2 linked regions of the Caenorhabditis elegans genome follow. The protein of the gene in region 2 interacts with the protein of the main gene of each other region in a pairwise test. Each region holds a gene or a part of one and is shown on either strand. Other genes may lie near its edges.

Region 1 (6,092 bases), on a different chromosome or scaffold from region 2:
AGCTTTTTGCTTGAGCATTTAGAAACTTTCTGCAACAATTTTGGCTTTATGATGACTCGAAAATTGTCTGAAAATGCACCAAAAAATGTTTCAAGGCGTGCACATTAAAGGGGGAGTAATGTTTGTGAATATTTTGCGTAAATAGACTAAAACTGGTCCAAAACCACCGAATTTCCTAATGAGACTTCACAAAAATTTCCAAAAATTTTTTATGTCCGGTCAAATTTTCGAAAAAAAAGAGCCAAATTTTGCTAAAATCTGAAATTTCGCACACTTTTCTTTGCCATAGCCGCTGAATTTTAGTTTTTCTGAAATTATCACCCTTTAATCCTTATTTTGGTAATTTATCTCGCGGAATTTCGTTGATTGAGACAACTTTTAGCGATAGGCATCCAATATTGATCATTTTTGGATGCCTATCGGCCTAAAAGTTGTCTCAATGCGGCTGTGACAAAGAAAAGTGTGCGAAATTTCAGATTTTAGCAAAATTTGGCTCTTTTTTTTCGAAAATTTGACCGGCCATAAAAAATTTTCTGTGAAGTCTCATTAGGAAATTCGGTGGTTTTGGACCATTTTTAGTCTATTTAAGCAAAATACCCACAAACTCTACTCCCCCTTTAACATACTTGAAATTTTTTTTTGCATGTTTTCAGTAATTTCCATGATATAAAAAACAAAAAGTACACTACCAAAGTACTCCATTATTAAAATGATATTTTGAAAAAAAAGAGAATTTTGCGTGAAATTCTCGAAAATCTCACTAATGATCCGTCAGAAGGTGCCCATTGGACTTACATATGAGATCGAATGAAACAGATCTAATATGTAAGTCGAATGGGCACCTTCTGACGGATTCCTAGTCAGGGTGTCCCATAACATTTGGACAGTCGACATTTCAACTTTTTGCTCTTTTGCGTTCAATTTTGAAATGTGAGTATAAAATTGTAGATACAGAGGTTTTTTGGTATGCTGCATCCGATGTCAATATTAGTTTCCCAAAAAAGTTTGCAGATGCCCTATACAGCTCAAGTGGAGGGGGTTTAATAGCAATTGGGCGTATTAAAGTACTCCTATAGAAACCTAAAAACATCTAACCAGTAACCCCAACTCAATATCTTGTCAAAAGCCAAAAATTGTGCATACCTGTAGTGTTACGTCACATACCAAAATCAGACGAACACTATTTTTTGGATATTGGTAATGATATAAAAAATATGCAAGTTTGATTGAAAACATTTAAATCATGTTGATTTTTTGTAACTGGAAAACAATAGTTCAAAATGCCGAAATGCCGAATGCCGAATGCCGGCATAATGCCGGTTTTTGGAGCGCGGCATATGCCGAAATGCCGATTTTGAAATTCACGGCATATGCCGAAAATGCCGTTATGCCGAAACGAAAAATGGACGGCATATCGGCATATGCCGATATGCCGAAAAAAATTTTTGGCGGCATATGCCGTTATGCCGTTATGCCGAAAAATTCCGAATGCCGCACAGGTATGGCTGACACTAACCTGTTGGCGGCTTTTAACCTGCCATTCAGCTGCCAATAACTTGTGGCGCTTTACCTGTGTTGAGGTGTCTCCCGCATGGCCGAGTGGTTAGTGCGTATGATTGTAGAAATTTTGGTAACTGGTTCAATTCTACCAAGTGACAAATTTTTTTGTTTTTTGTGAGTAATCGGGATTCGAATAGAAATACTCAATTTTATACAAAATATGGGTACGTCTTTCCTAATATAAAGCCTCCTCAAACTTCAATCAATCAAAACTCAGCTTTAACTGATTCATCGGGTGCATCTGTTTTTGGTCAAACCGAACTCAAAAAACAAGAAGACTCCAATTATAGAATTACATTCGATTCTACAGAATTTTTTTTCATGTTTCGTAGTAGACTTGTCTCAGAAACTTTTAGCTCAGTTTTTTGATTGAACAGGAAGCTTTTGTCTCCTAGAAAAAATTTGTTATATAATTCTGAAAACGCTCAAAATTTGAAACAAGTCCCCGACAAAACATTTTGAAAATAGCTCAACTACTGACAATTGAGTTTCCCATTGAAGGTAGGCATGTTCGCTTACCGCCTACCGCCGGCAAGGCGCATTTACGATTTTTAACAGCTTTTCACTTGCACACAAGCTATAAACCCCGCCACACCGACAAAAATGATTTTATTTAAAATCAATAATCTCATAAAAATTTTTATCATATGAAAAGTACCATAAAGTAAGCTTTCTTAGCTAGCAACCATCTTGACAACGACTTCTCCTTGTTGAGCACCAGCCGCAAACGGAGCCTTCGGATCGGTCTCATCAGCTGGAACTTCGGCGTATTGAATGACAAGCTTGTCCTCCTTCGCTGGTCCAGCCAAACGATTCACTTCGAGCTTAGCCTTTCCCTTCGCATCAACGAATCCATAGACTGGGCGAACACGATACGATTCATTGTTGGACGACTTGACTTTGAATGCCAAACGAGATTCCGATTCGGAGACAATGTAGTGAGTTGATGAACCACCAGAAGCTGGGTAGTCGCCGGATGGTGGATCGATGTTGATCATTTGTAGACTTATTTTTGAGGAGACAAAGTTGATCACCAAATAGATGTAAGGGAATGATTGGATATGGAGAAGGAAGGGGACAAATCAACATTTTGATGAACTTTACTGATAAGGAAGTTAAGGAGAGGTTACGTTTTCATTTTATTGTTATTTTGTTTATTTAAATGTATTTTAAATACTTCTAATTGTAAAACAAAAATAAACTAGTTTTTTGCAACCAATTTACGTGAAAACTGTATCTCGATAAAAATCCAATTTTCAAATAAATGAAACAATACCAAGTTTTTCAACAAAGATGAAATTTATTCAACTTGCGCTGTTCTTTCTTATTGGAATATCAACTACGGATACATCGAACAAGACTCAACAAATTTTCAAGAAAATTGGAAAACGATTCTCGCTGAGTGAACATGGATTAATCCAACGGTTTAAGTTTTATTGGAAGACTCAGGAGGATGTGGATGCTGCAAGAAATCATTCGGCTCAATTGGTGGCTCTTCACTTGTTGAGACAATCATCGAATCACAATTATAAGTTTCAAGAGAGTGCTGATATTTTGTATAGTCTGATGGATATAAACTTCGAGGGAAAGATATGCGGTGGAATGGAAATGCTGAATTTCTGTAAGTTCAACTTTTACAATTGCGTATTGCCGTTTTTGGTCCAGAATTTAAAAAAAAGATTGAATTCCAGATCAAATGGCTGAATTCTGGAAACGACAACGAGGGACGTACCGGAGAAATTCTGGAGAGGTAGGCAGTAATTTTAAACACTCACATATCATTTTATTTTTCAGAAAGTTTCCTGGAGTCCTGTTCCAACGGAGAGTATAAATGACAATATATTCCTGGTATCGTTTATGGCACATTCCACTTGGGAGTACTCTTCAAAGATATCTTATCTTGTTAAAATGGAACTTCTCGGAGAAAAACCATACAGCAACTACACACTGACAAGGATTGAAGAAGTTGGAGCATGTACAGAGTATGGTGTTACGAATCTGGAAAACACTGATATATTTTTGGATCTTCATGAAACTGACCCAGAGAGAGTTGATACAAGGAAAAAAGTATTCAAACATTTCTATGAACTATTCACAATGGATAGAGAAGAGTCTGTAATCCCATTTAATTGGCTATCTTATACCGGTGTATCTGCTGATCTCGACATTCAAGTGTGTCACGGGAGTGAGTTGAAGAAAATCGGAAAGTATAATTTTATCGATTGGTGGCTCTGGTTCCAGAAGATGTATCATCCGGTGAAAGGCGATGTAAGTATCACAACTATAAAGTTTCACAGAACATTCTTATTTTCCTTTTAAAAGCAACACACAGCGGTGCAATTGACTGGTGGAGAGTACGATCGATTTGTATTCAGAGTAACTATGAGAGTTCAAATTGGTACTTTAATAGATAACCCAGTTGAGGAATTCAACTTCAAGATTCAAGTTAGATATGTACGTGTTTGAAGGAAAAAGAAAGCCATAAAAATTGACACAACTTCAGAATGTTTATGGCGACAAAGAATGGAATATTGATAAGTTCGAAGTGATGTGCCCATTAGTTGCAGTTCCAGAGATTGATTTGATGAAGAAGCACGCAATCGCTTTTAACCAGGTTATTGGAGCAAGGTTTGTGAAATGTTATCAGCTGTGTAGAAGCTAATACTAAGGTCATCATGATAGGCAGATACGTTTTCTTGTTGGAATCCCTTGCCTATTTAGGCCCCTGTCTGTGCTCTTTTAGCGTGACAATAAATGTTTGGGGGTGGACAGCAAGGAAGCAGGTCCCCTTGAAAGCAACTATGCAAACTATTTGTGCCTACCCAGCAAAAATTTATTTAATACTCCCGCCAAAGAAATTCTCACTATCAGAAATTTGAATTTTGAATTTCGCGTCAAGGGTTTCAAATGAATAGGTTTTGACAAAACATCAAGCTCTGCTAATTGATGAAGTACACTAGAATCACGCGCCTTTACAATTTTTGTTAGTGCAAACTCTATTTGGAGCATCTACCGTATCCTTACAGTAATCCCATGTAATTTCAGAATTCAAAAGATGGTTGACGCCCCAGAGATGTGGTATACAGCAGTTGATGCTCTTACAACATTGACTAGCCGGAAGTTTGAAATTAGAAATTGTGCAGGGCTCAATGGAGAGACAATGGAGAAGGCTAACAATTTTGGTGAGCTAACTCATATTCTTACAAAGGAGTGTTTTTTTTAATATTTATTTCAGCGGATCTGACGCACAAATTCTGGGAGCTGAACAAATCTACAAACGGACGGATGGAAGGATACGACTTGGGTGGAATCAGTGAATTCTCAGAAATTTCGGAGAAAGTATGGTTGTACATATTCATCATTTGGACACCACAACCTGAAATACTTGTGCACCAATCGCAATGGACATTTGGCTTAGAATGGAATAGTGATTTACAAGCTTTTTCGATTTTTTCAATGATACTGAGATGTCCGAAAAATGGGAAAGAAAGAAAACGTTTTATTACACTTCATTAAGAAATCCATAGAATAAATGATTTTTTGACTAGTTGAATGTTTTTGGCACCAAGTTTTAACCAACTTTGAATTGGATTGACTTTCCATCATGTGTCACTGGAGCACATTTTCTCGCCCTATCAGACACCCTTTTTCCGCCCTATCAACTGAACACCATCTCTGTACAACAGCAGGTAGGCGTGCAGTAGGCAGGCAGTCATAAGGCGGCTGACCATAGGTGCGATAGTTTAAAACTAGAGACCTATTTGTTTTGAATTTTTTGTGTGTCATTTGAAAATTAAAAAAAAACATTGAAAAGTGAAAAAAATCCAATTTATTATCTTCAAAAAATTATACGTGAACCTTTAACTGCAACGTTGTATTTTGATTAAAAACCAGTTTTCTCAAAAATCAATCAATACCGATTTTCAACCGGCATGAAGTTTCTTCAATTTGCGCTGCTGTTTTTTATCATTTGCATAACAACTACGGATGCATCAAAGAAGACTCAACGTGTCCTCAAGAAAGTTGGAAAACGATTTTCGTTGAGTGAATTCGGAGTAGTCCAACGTTTAGACTATATGTGGAGAACAGCGGAGACAGTGGAGGCTGCAAGAAATCACTCGGCTGAACTAGTGGCTCGTCTCTTGCTCAGCCAATCGTCAGCTGACAATTTGAAGTTTCAAGAGAGTGCTGATATTTTGTACAGTCTGATGGATAATAACTTCGAGGGCAAGATTTGTGGTGGAGACGAGACATTGAACTTTTGTAAGTGAGCAGTTTTGGAAGACAGTTTTCAGCAGGAATAATTTCAGATCAAATGAGTGACTACTGGAAAAGGCAAAGAAAAACCTACAGAAGAAACGAGAAAGAGGTTTGCATATAACTTTGAGGCAGGGTTGCCAAATCGGACCGGTTTGCGGATGTCAAATCGTTGGTTCTGGCAAATTGCCGATAAGTAGATTTTTCACACCGCCCGACATCTCCCGAGTTTGCCCATTCACCATTCTTGATAATATAACTTGCCAGCCTCGGAA
Region 2 (6,841 bases):
AGAGCCGACAGTTTCACAATGGCATCCTTATTTTTCTGCAGCCAATCGAGATCCAGCTTCTGGTTGGAGATTTTATACTCGAGGACTCGGACTCTTTTCACCACCTCGTTCTCCAATACTTTGATTGCTTGATCCATTTCTCCCATTTCAAAATGTCGAAATCTCAGGAGCTCATTCTTTTTTTGGAAAAACGGCTCTCCGTCGTATGAGTATGTGGCAATTATTCTGAAATGTTATATTGATAAATCATTTACTATGTATTCATAAAGCTCTGTAGTTTGAACTTTACTATATGTACTGTAGTGGTACTGTAGGGTTACTGTAGCTTCGGAATAAATTGGTGTTTGTGCTTTTTGAGAGGTATTCGGCAGGAATAAGTTTTGCTATTACTGTCAAACATTTATCACATGGAAAATTAAAAACAAATAAAATTTTGAGAATGTAATCTGGCTTCAAAAAAAATTCCAGAAACTTGGATATTTCAAAATGGCAAAATTCAAAATAATTACAAGTTTTTGCATATTCCGAAAGAAAAAAGAGAAACCAACTATTTACCAACCGAGTACTTTTTCCAAAATTCAAGTTTTTCCTGGACTACAGTAACCCTACAATAATTCCACAGTACAGTACCACTACAGTAACTAGACATTAGCCATCACTAACTCCAAACCCAAAAGGAAAAATACCCATTTTCTTAATCTACAGTAACCCTACAATAATTCCACAGTACCTCTACAGTACCACTACTGTACTAATATATAAGTATTGATATTGAAAAAAGGTATACACTGACTCTCTAAGTTTTCCAATATTGGCCAATATCTTCTTCTCTTTTTCATGATACAATGCCAACGACGAACAGATGTTCCTTCTGAGCTCCGGGAGTTCCAAGTGTAGAGAGCTATGCTCGTGCTCGAAATGATCCGAGCATTTGTCCAAAAAACATTCGCTGCACATCAGTCGATTCTGCCGTTTCTTGCATCTGTCTCTCATGCACACAAGACTTATACTTTTTCCTGGGTGAAATTGACAATCAGGAGTTGAAATCATCTTTTTCTCATGATGTGCTAGTGTGGATATAGAATGAATCCACGTCCAGCATCTAAAAATATTTATTATTTTCTGATCAAGATTTTAAAATGACTTCCAAAAGGCGCACGGGATTATTTATATGGGTCTCGTCGCGCAAAACGTTTATGGTAGCTTCTTTGCGGCCCTCTCGTTCATTTTCATAGTTTTTTTTAAAATTTATTCTGGACCGCAAAAATTGAAAAAAAAACTACCATAAACTTTTTCTTGCGCGCCGAGACTCATCTAAATAAATGAGTGCGCCTTTAAAAAGCCATGTCAAAATCTTGTGAAACTGATAATATTTCAACTAACTCTTCACATAAATCGGCGTCGCATGTCTCACAATAATTCGAAGCGTGATGATTCGTGTTCTCATCACAGACTCCATTCTTATTCCTCTCCTTTTTCTCATTCTTTTCCGAAATTACTCGGTTCTTTCGATCTTTCACCTCTTGTTTGATTTCCAGAATACTAAAATTCTTTTTGAGTCTCGTCACATCTTTTTTCCAAATTCTCGTCTCAATTCGATCAAATGGGCATGCGATTATCGAAGACTGTCCTTTTATTTTTCCTGCACATCCTGTACAAATCGTGTGACCACATTCTGGAAGATAAAATAATTTTTAATTAAGAATCAAAACACACGGTGTACCAGTCAAAATTCTAGGGATTAGGAGCTTTTCGTCTTCTGAATACTCCTGCCCGCAAATCCCACACTCCGGAAAGCAGCGGAGCATATTCATGGCAAGTTCTGGAAACGAAGAAAAAATATTCGAGTGTATGAAATGAATGGGAAATTTCGTTATTGTCGTTGTTGAAAACGAAAATGTTCGTTTAAAATACGAAAAACGAATACGAAACAAGAAACAGCGCGATGACACCAATTGACCACAAATTTGTGTAAATTTGGAGCAATTTCCGGAGATCAAACAGAGAAAGAAAACACTTTGAATATTCTTGATATGCAGAGAGTGTTCGAAAACTAGAAAAAGAGAGCGCGAGGAACAAAAGTAGAAAGAGTATAATGTGCACACGCGAGGCGACAGGGGGCCTAGGCAGTTGTTGTTTTCAACTCGTTTTAGACTTTGGAGACGCAGAGTCAGATATGCAAAACTATTATCTTCAATGAGAAAAAATGTATTTTATCAAATAGCTATTCAATAGTTCTGTTCAATTTTCCGAACCCATTCTTCAAACTCTTCAGACGTCGGACCAAGTTCTGCGGTTGAAGCGTCATCCGAATTGACTGATGCATTGGATGTTGAACCATAGTCTTCAAGAATCTCAAAATCATCTGGCGGGCACGGAATAGCAAGGTTGACACGTGGATCGAAGTAAACTGGTTCCAAATGTTGCTCCGATTGAGCTAAGCACTCCAGAGAATCAACTACAGTAACCTTCTGATCATCACACATCATTTGAAATCCGGTGATTTTGCCTTGATCACGCCAGACTTGGAGCGGCGACGGTTGATGATTGAGGTCGAAAGGATCATCTGAAGCTGAAAATAAATTTTTTAAAATTTAATTGAGACGGAATCCCACCTTTAACATAATCTTGTTCCATAGAACTCAAATCCGATGCTGTACTGAAAGACATCTGAGTATTCAAAGAAGGATCTGCATAGGCATCCAACTTTTGTGCCACTGTCTCCAATGATACAGCTGTGCAGACCGATGTACAACTCAAAGATTCTTCGATTGCGGTTATCACTGAAAAATCTGGTGATTCAAGATCATCTGAAATCGTTTAAAGGCAACTCACAGTTACTAATAATATCTGCTTCGTTCGTGTTACTACACTCCTTGCTTTTGATGACTCCATCCAAATTGATATCCACTTCTGAACCAATCTTTTCGAGAGCAATGAAATCTGAAATTCTACGGTTCAGACGGCATGACAAACTCAGTAAAATTACCATTGACGACATCTTCCTGAGAACACTCCATGATTATGATCTCTCGAGATGTGATCGATTTGAAAATTTTTTTGAAATGAAATTTTGAATATAAGAAAATGAACATTGAGGCATTAGTAGGAAAGACGTGAAAACATTTAATTTTATAAAAATTTAAAGAACACGGTTGCCACGTGATTGGTGAAAACTTGTACAAAGAATTTATAGATGCTCACAGAGGCAACTCCTTTCGAACAGTTCTCTCAAAAAGTAGGAAATAATGGAAATTGAGAAGAAGCACCACATTTTATGTACAGTTAACATTAAATAGCATGGTAGAAGTAACTTAGAACCACGAGGCTGGTAGATCGCAACAAGGGCGGGTGAAGAATTGATGCAAATTTCAGATTTATAGGGATAAGACAACTCTTTTTAGAAGAATTCCCGTCTTGTTAGGTGTTCAACCCGGGAGCCATGACGGGGCTCATTTTGTCCGCCTCGCTTTCATGTGTGCAAAAGGCGGCCAGGCACAAGTCTCGTTTCCATGAACTATCGTAATAGTCATCAAAAAATTTGCTATACAAAAAACCAAGAAATTACGAATGCATAGACAACAACAAAAATGATTCGACATTTTTTATAGACCAAGTTCAATAATTTGTTCCGATTCTTCAGATCTCGTGATGGATTGAACTGGCATTGGATGAACGCAAGAGGTAGCTTTCCACAGATTTGGCTGAAATTGAAAATATTATTTCTTAAATAAACTTCACTCTTACCAGTTTTTCCAAAATCAGGATTCTGATCGAAATCCACCGGGATTGGTTGGAATTTGTCCAACTGATGAAGGCATTCAATTGAATCAATGATCTTCGCATTCGAAAAATTGCTGCACTCCAATCCAATCACTTTGCTATCCGGAATCCCGAGCTCGGCTTGAAGGCGCTCTACGTAGGCGGTGGTGTCGAATGTTGGATGAGCTGATTTTGCAGTGTGCTCTGACGCCAAATCCTGAGCAACGTTCTTGAGAACATCAGCCATTGTGACGTTGGTCTCCGAGGCAAGGGCAGTGTACTCCGAGAAGCTTGCAACATTCATTGTAACATTTGCTTCTGATGGTGGCATTGAGTAGACAGAGTAGTCAAGAACGTTCATCACTGAAAATTTTTGGTTTTTCAAGATAGAGTTGTTGCAGTTAACTTACAGTCTTTGCACCGCTCGAACTTCTCATTCATGGTCACTGGGGTCTCGGATTTTGGAGCAGAGTAAACGGACAAATTGAATTGATTGATATCTTGACATGGCTGGAACCCTTCGCTAGCTGACACATTTGTTTCTGATTTTGGGATTGGGTAGATCGAAGAATCAGCTTCTGTAAACTCAATATTCCCAAAAAAAAGACAATAAAAACTTACGATCATCTGGCGTCTCATTGACAGCGATAATTTCTTTGGCAAGCACCTCATTGATGGAGCAATTTGTCTCCGATGGCTGAGCAGAGTACACGGAGCACATTCCATCCTGATCCATTTGGTTGTCGAACGAGGAAGCCATAGCTAACCAATCAATTGAGCAGATTGTTTAATCCGACGGTTGAGGTTGTCGGACGAGTATGTAGCAATAAATTGTTAGTGTGGCAAGGGGGAGGTAAGGGGAATTCAAAAGTTCACGTTAAAAGTTCAATTTTTTTTTTGAAATTTATAAATTTTTTTGAAATTTGAACTTTTTATAGTGGAATCATGGCATTTTAAATATATATAAATTGTCAAATAAATAAAAGTGTAAGTCCACGATTCCAGGGAAAAAATTCAAAGTTTTATTCATTTCGTACATCAACTACACAGTCGTACGATGCAAGCCCCCGTCGTAACGGAAACTTGTCAAACCAACGAAGAAGGAGAGCAGCTTGTGCTCCGCCTGAGAGCTCCAGTTGAGCGTCCACGTGTCACTTGGGGAGCGGGAGTAATTGGTGAGTGAATTTATATTAAAAAGTCTTGAAAAATACTTAAACTTTAGATAACGAACACATGGGACGTCTCAAATCCAATTGCTGTTGCATCTACACTCCGCCTCGTGTCTGGGATGATCCGTCAACTTGGGAGCCGGAGGAGCATGAGACGGAGCACTGTCGTGGACATACTCTTCCAGAGAAGAAGCAAAAGCCACAAGGAGGACATGGTAGCGATAAAGATGAAGATAAGGGAAATTGTGGATGTGATCATTGTTGAAACTCGAAGATTTAAAAATTATTAGGAAATTTATGTAGATTTTATTGTAAATTAATCTAAATGACCCATCATGCCTTTGTTCTTATGTTTTTGTATTGAATATTACTTTTCTGCGGTCATAAAAATGAAAAAAAAACTGAAAAACAAACTATTAACACAATTATTTATTCTTGATATCCAAATTAGGTAGCCCTCAAAAATCAATCTTTCTCCACATCGTTTAGCCGCCACTTCTGGAATCTCTTTGGTCCAGTTTCGTGAATAGCAGAGACAGGATCATAGGAGAGTGTGTAGTTGATGACTGTTTGGTTTTGGTATTGACCTTGAGTTTGGAGCATTCTGGTGGCACGATGATGAAGCAGATTGACTTTGGCAACAGCGCTGTGGAATAGACGGAAGTCTTTTTGAGTGTCAGCAATTGAAACTGGAGCAAAATCTTTTGGTTCAAGAAGACCCAAGCGACGTTTTGTCTGAAATTAAATAACAGAAATTAAAGAACATCTAATAGTGAGCTTGAAAAATAAATACCTTGTATTTTATGTGATCGATTATTTCGTAATCATTGGTCTGCTTCTCACTGTCATTACGAATTTCCTCGAACTCGAACATAATTATAGTGACGTAAAGTTGCAGGACGAGCTTTGATCCGGCAATCATATAAAGCATGATCACAACAAACGCAAATTGAGAAATCGGTTGAATAGAGGTAACATCAAGTTTTCCAAGCATTCCAGCCAATGCTGTTTGAAAGGTAGCCATTAAGCTCCGATATCTGGAACCAATTTTTAAAAATTGATTTCTTTCAATTAAGTTTTCATCCTCACCCTCCCATTTTATTTCCTAAAACTGCGTACAATACAGAGTTGAATGTCATGCTGAAGAACAGGAAAGCAATTCCAAATGACACAATAGCTCCGAGAGCGTTATCCAGTGTAGCCGCTAATACTCCAATTCTTCTGTTGAATCTCAAGATTCGAATCATTTTACAAGAAGTGAAGAATACGGCTCCGGCAAGACAATAACTGAATACAATCTCCCAATTTCTCTGTTCAGTCAAATTAATGTACGAATTTCCATTGTTTGCATTGAAATCTTCCATTGCTCTATTTGTGGTTCGTTGGCGGATGGTGTAGGCTAGGACCGATGCAACAGCGAGAGCTCCAACTATCAAGTCCATGAAGTTCCATGGTGAGAAGTTTCTATAAAATGTCTTTTTGAAACTGAAGTTCTCATTAGACCCACCCCAGTGCCAGCTGATACACAATTTTGAATGGATTTCTCGTTGGTTTCATTGTTGTTATCACCTTGTACCGCCCATACAAGTAGAACACAATCTCTTTTACAAATATGAGAACTGAGAAAAAGATGTAAAGCATCTCATAATACTTGACCACAGTTCCATCGCTTCCCTCTGATTTGATAAGTCTTACTGATTCAACCCAACTATTAGGAAGATAAATTCCTGACTTTGGAATCTCCACCAACAACTGTACCACCGAAAAGTAGTTGATTTGAGCATTGTATGCAGAGAACTCAATGATGACTGCTCGAGTATGATCATCGATCCATCGTTCCGAATCAAGTTTATTGAAGAGAGTGATGATTTCCGCTTGGGTACCAGACATACTGATAGTATATCCACCTC

What was found. Proteins that work in one complex are often made in the same cells at the same time.
Region 1: the proteins of ZK945.6 (region 2) and ssp-31 interact in a two-hybrid assay, tested with the Caenorhabditis elegans proteins (one large-scale study listed by BioGRID).

The regions. Positions count from the first base shown.
Region 1 is NC_003279.8:13,215,607-13,221,698, reverse strand, and holds ssp-31 (Sperm-specific class P protein 31), read right to left. Parts: upstream 2,559-6,092; coding exon 2,235-2,558; downstream 1-2,234. Other genes in the region: ZK1225.5 (FSA_C domain-containing protein), read left to right, coding at 2,854-3,181, 3,252-3,310, 3,355-3,828, 3,883-4,014, 4,064-4,188, 4,606-4,742, 4,796-5,076; ZK1225.4 (Cysteine proteinase), read left to right, coding at 5,493-5,823, 5,871-5,929.
Region 2 is NC_003280.10:10,103,883-10,110,723, forward strand, and holds ZK945.6 (Ovule protein), read right to left. Parts: upstream 3,089-6,841; 5' UTR 3,021-3,088; coding exon 2,990-3,020; intron 2,944-2,989; coding exon 2,836-2,943; intron 2,784-2,835; coding exon 2,616-2,783; intron 2,573-2,615; coding exon 2,229-2,572; 3' UTR 2,198-2,228; downstream 1-2,197. Other genes in the region: putative RING finger protein ZK945.4, read right to left, coding at 1-225, 794-1,102, 1,384-1,675, 1,724-1,814; ZK945.7 (uncharacterized protein), read right to left, coding at 3,640-3,704, 3,748-4,125, 4,173-4,340, 4,384-4,522; ZK945.8 (PPP1R11/YPI1 family protein), read left to right, coding at 4,820-4,937, 4,985-5,196; lov-1 (Location of vulva defective 1), read right to left, coding at 5,397-5,666, 5,725-5,968, 6,021-6,395, 6,439-6,841.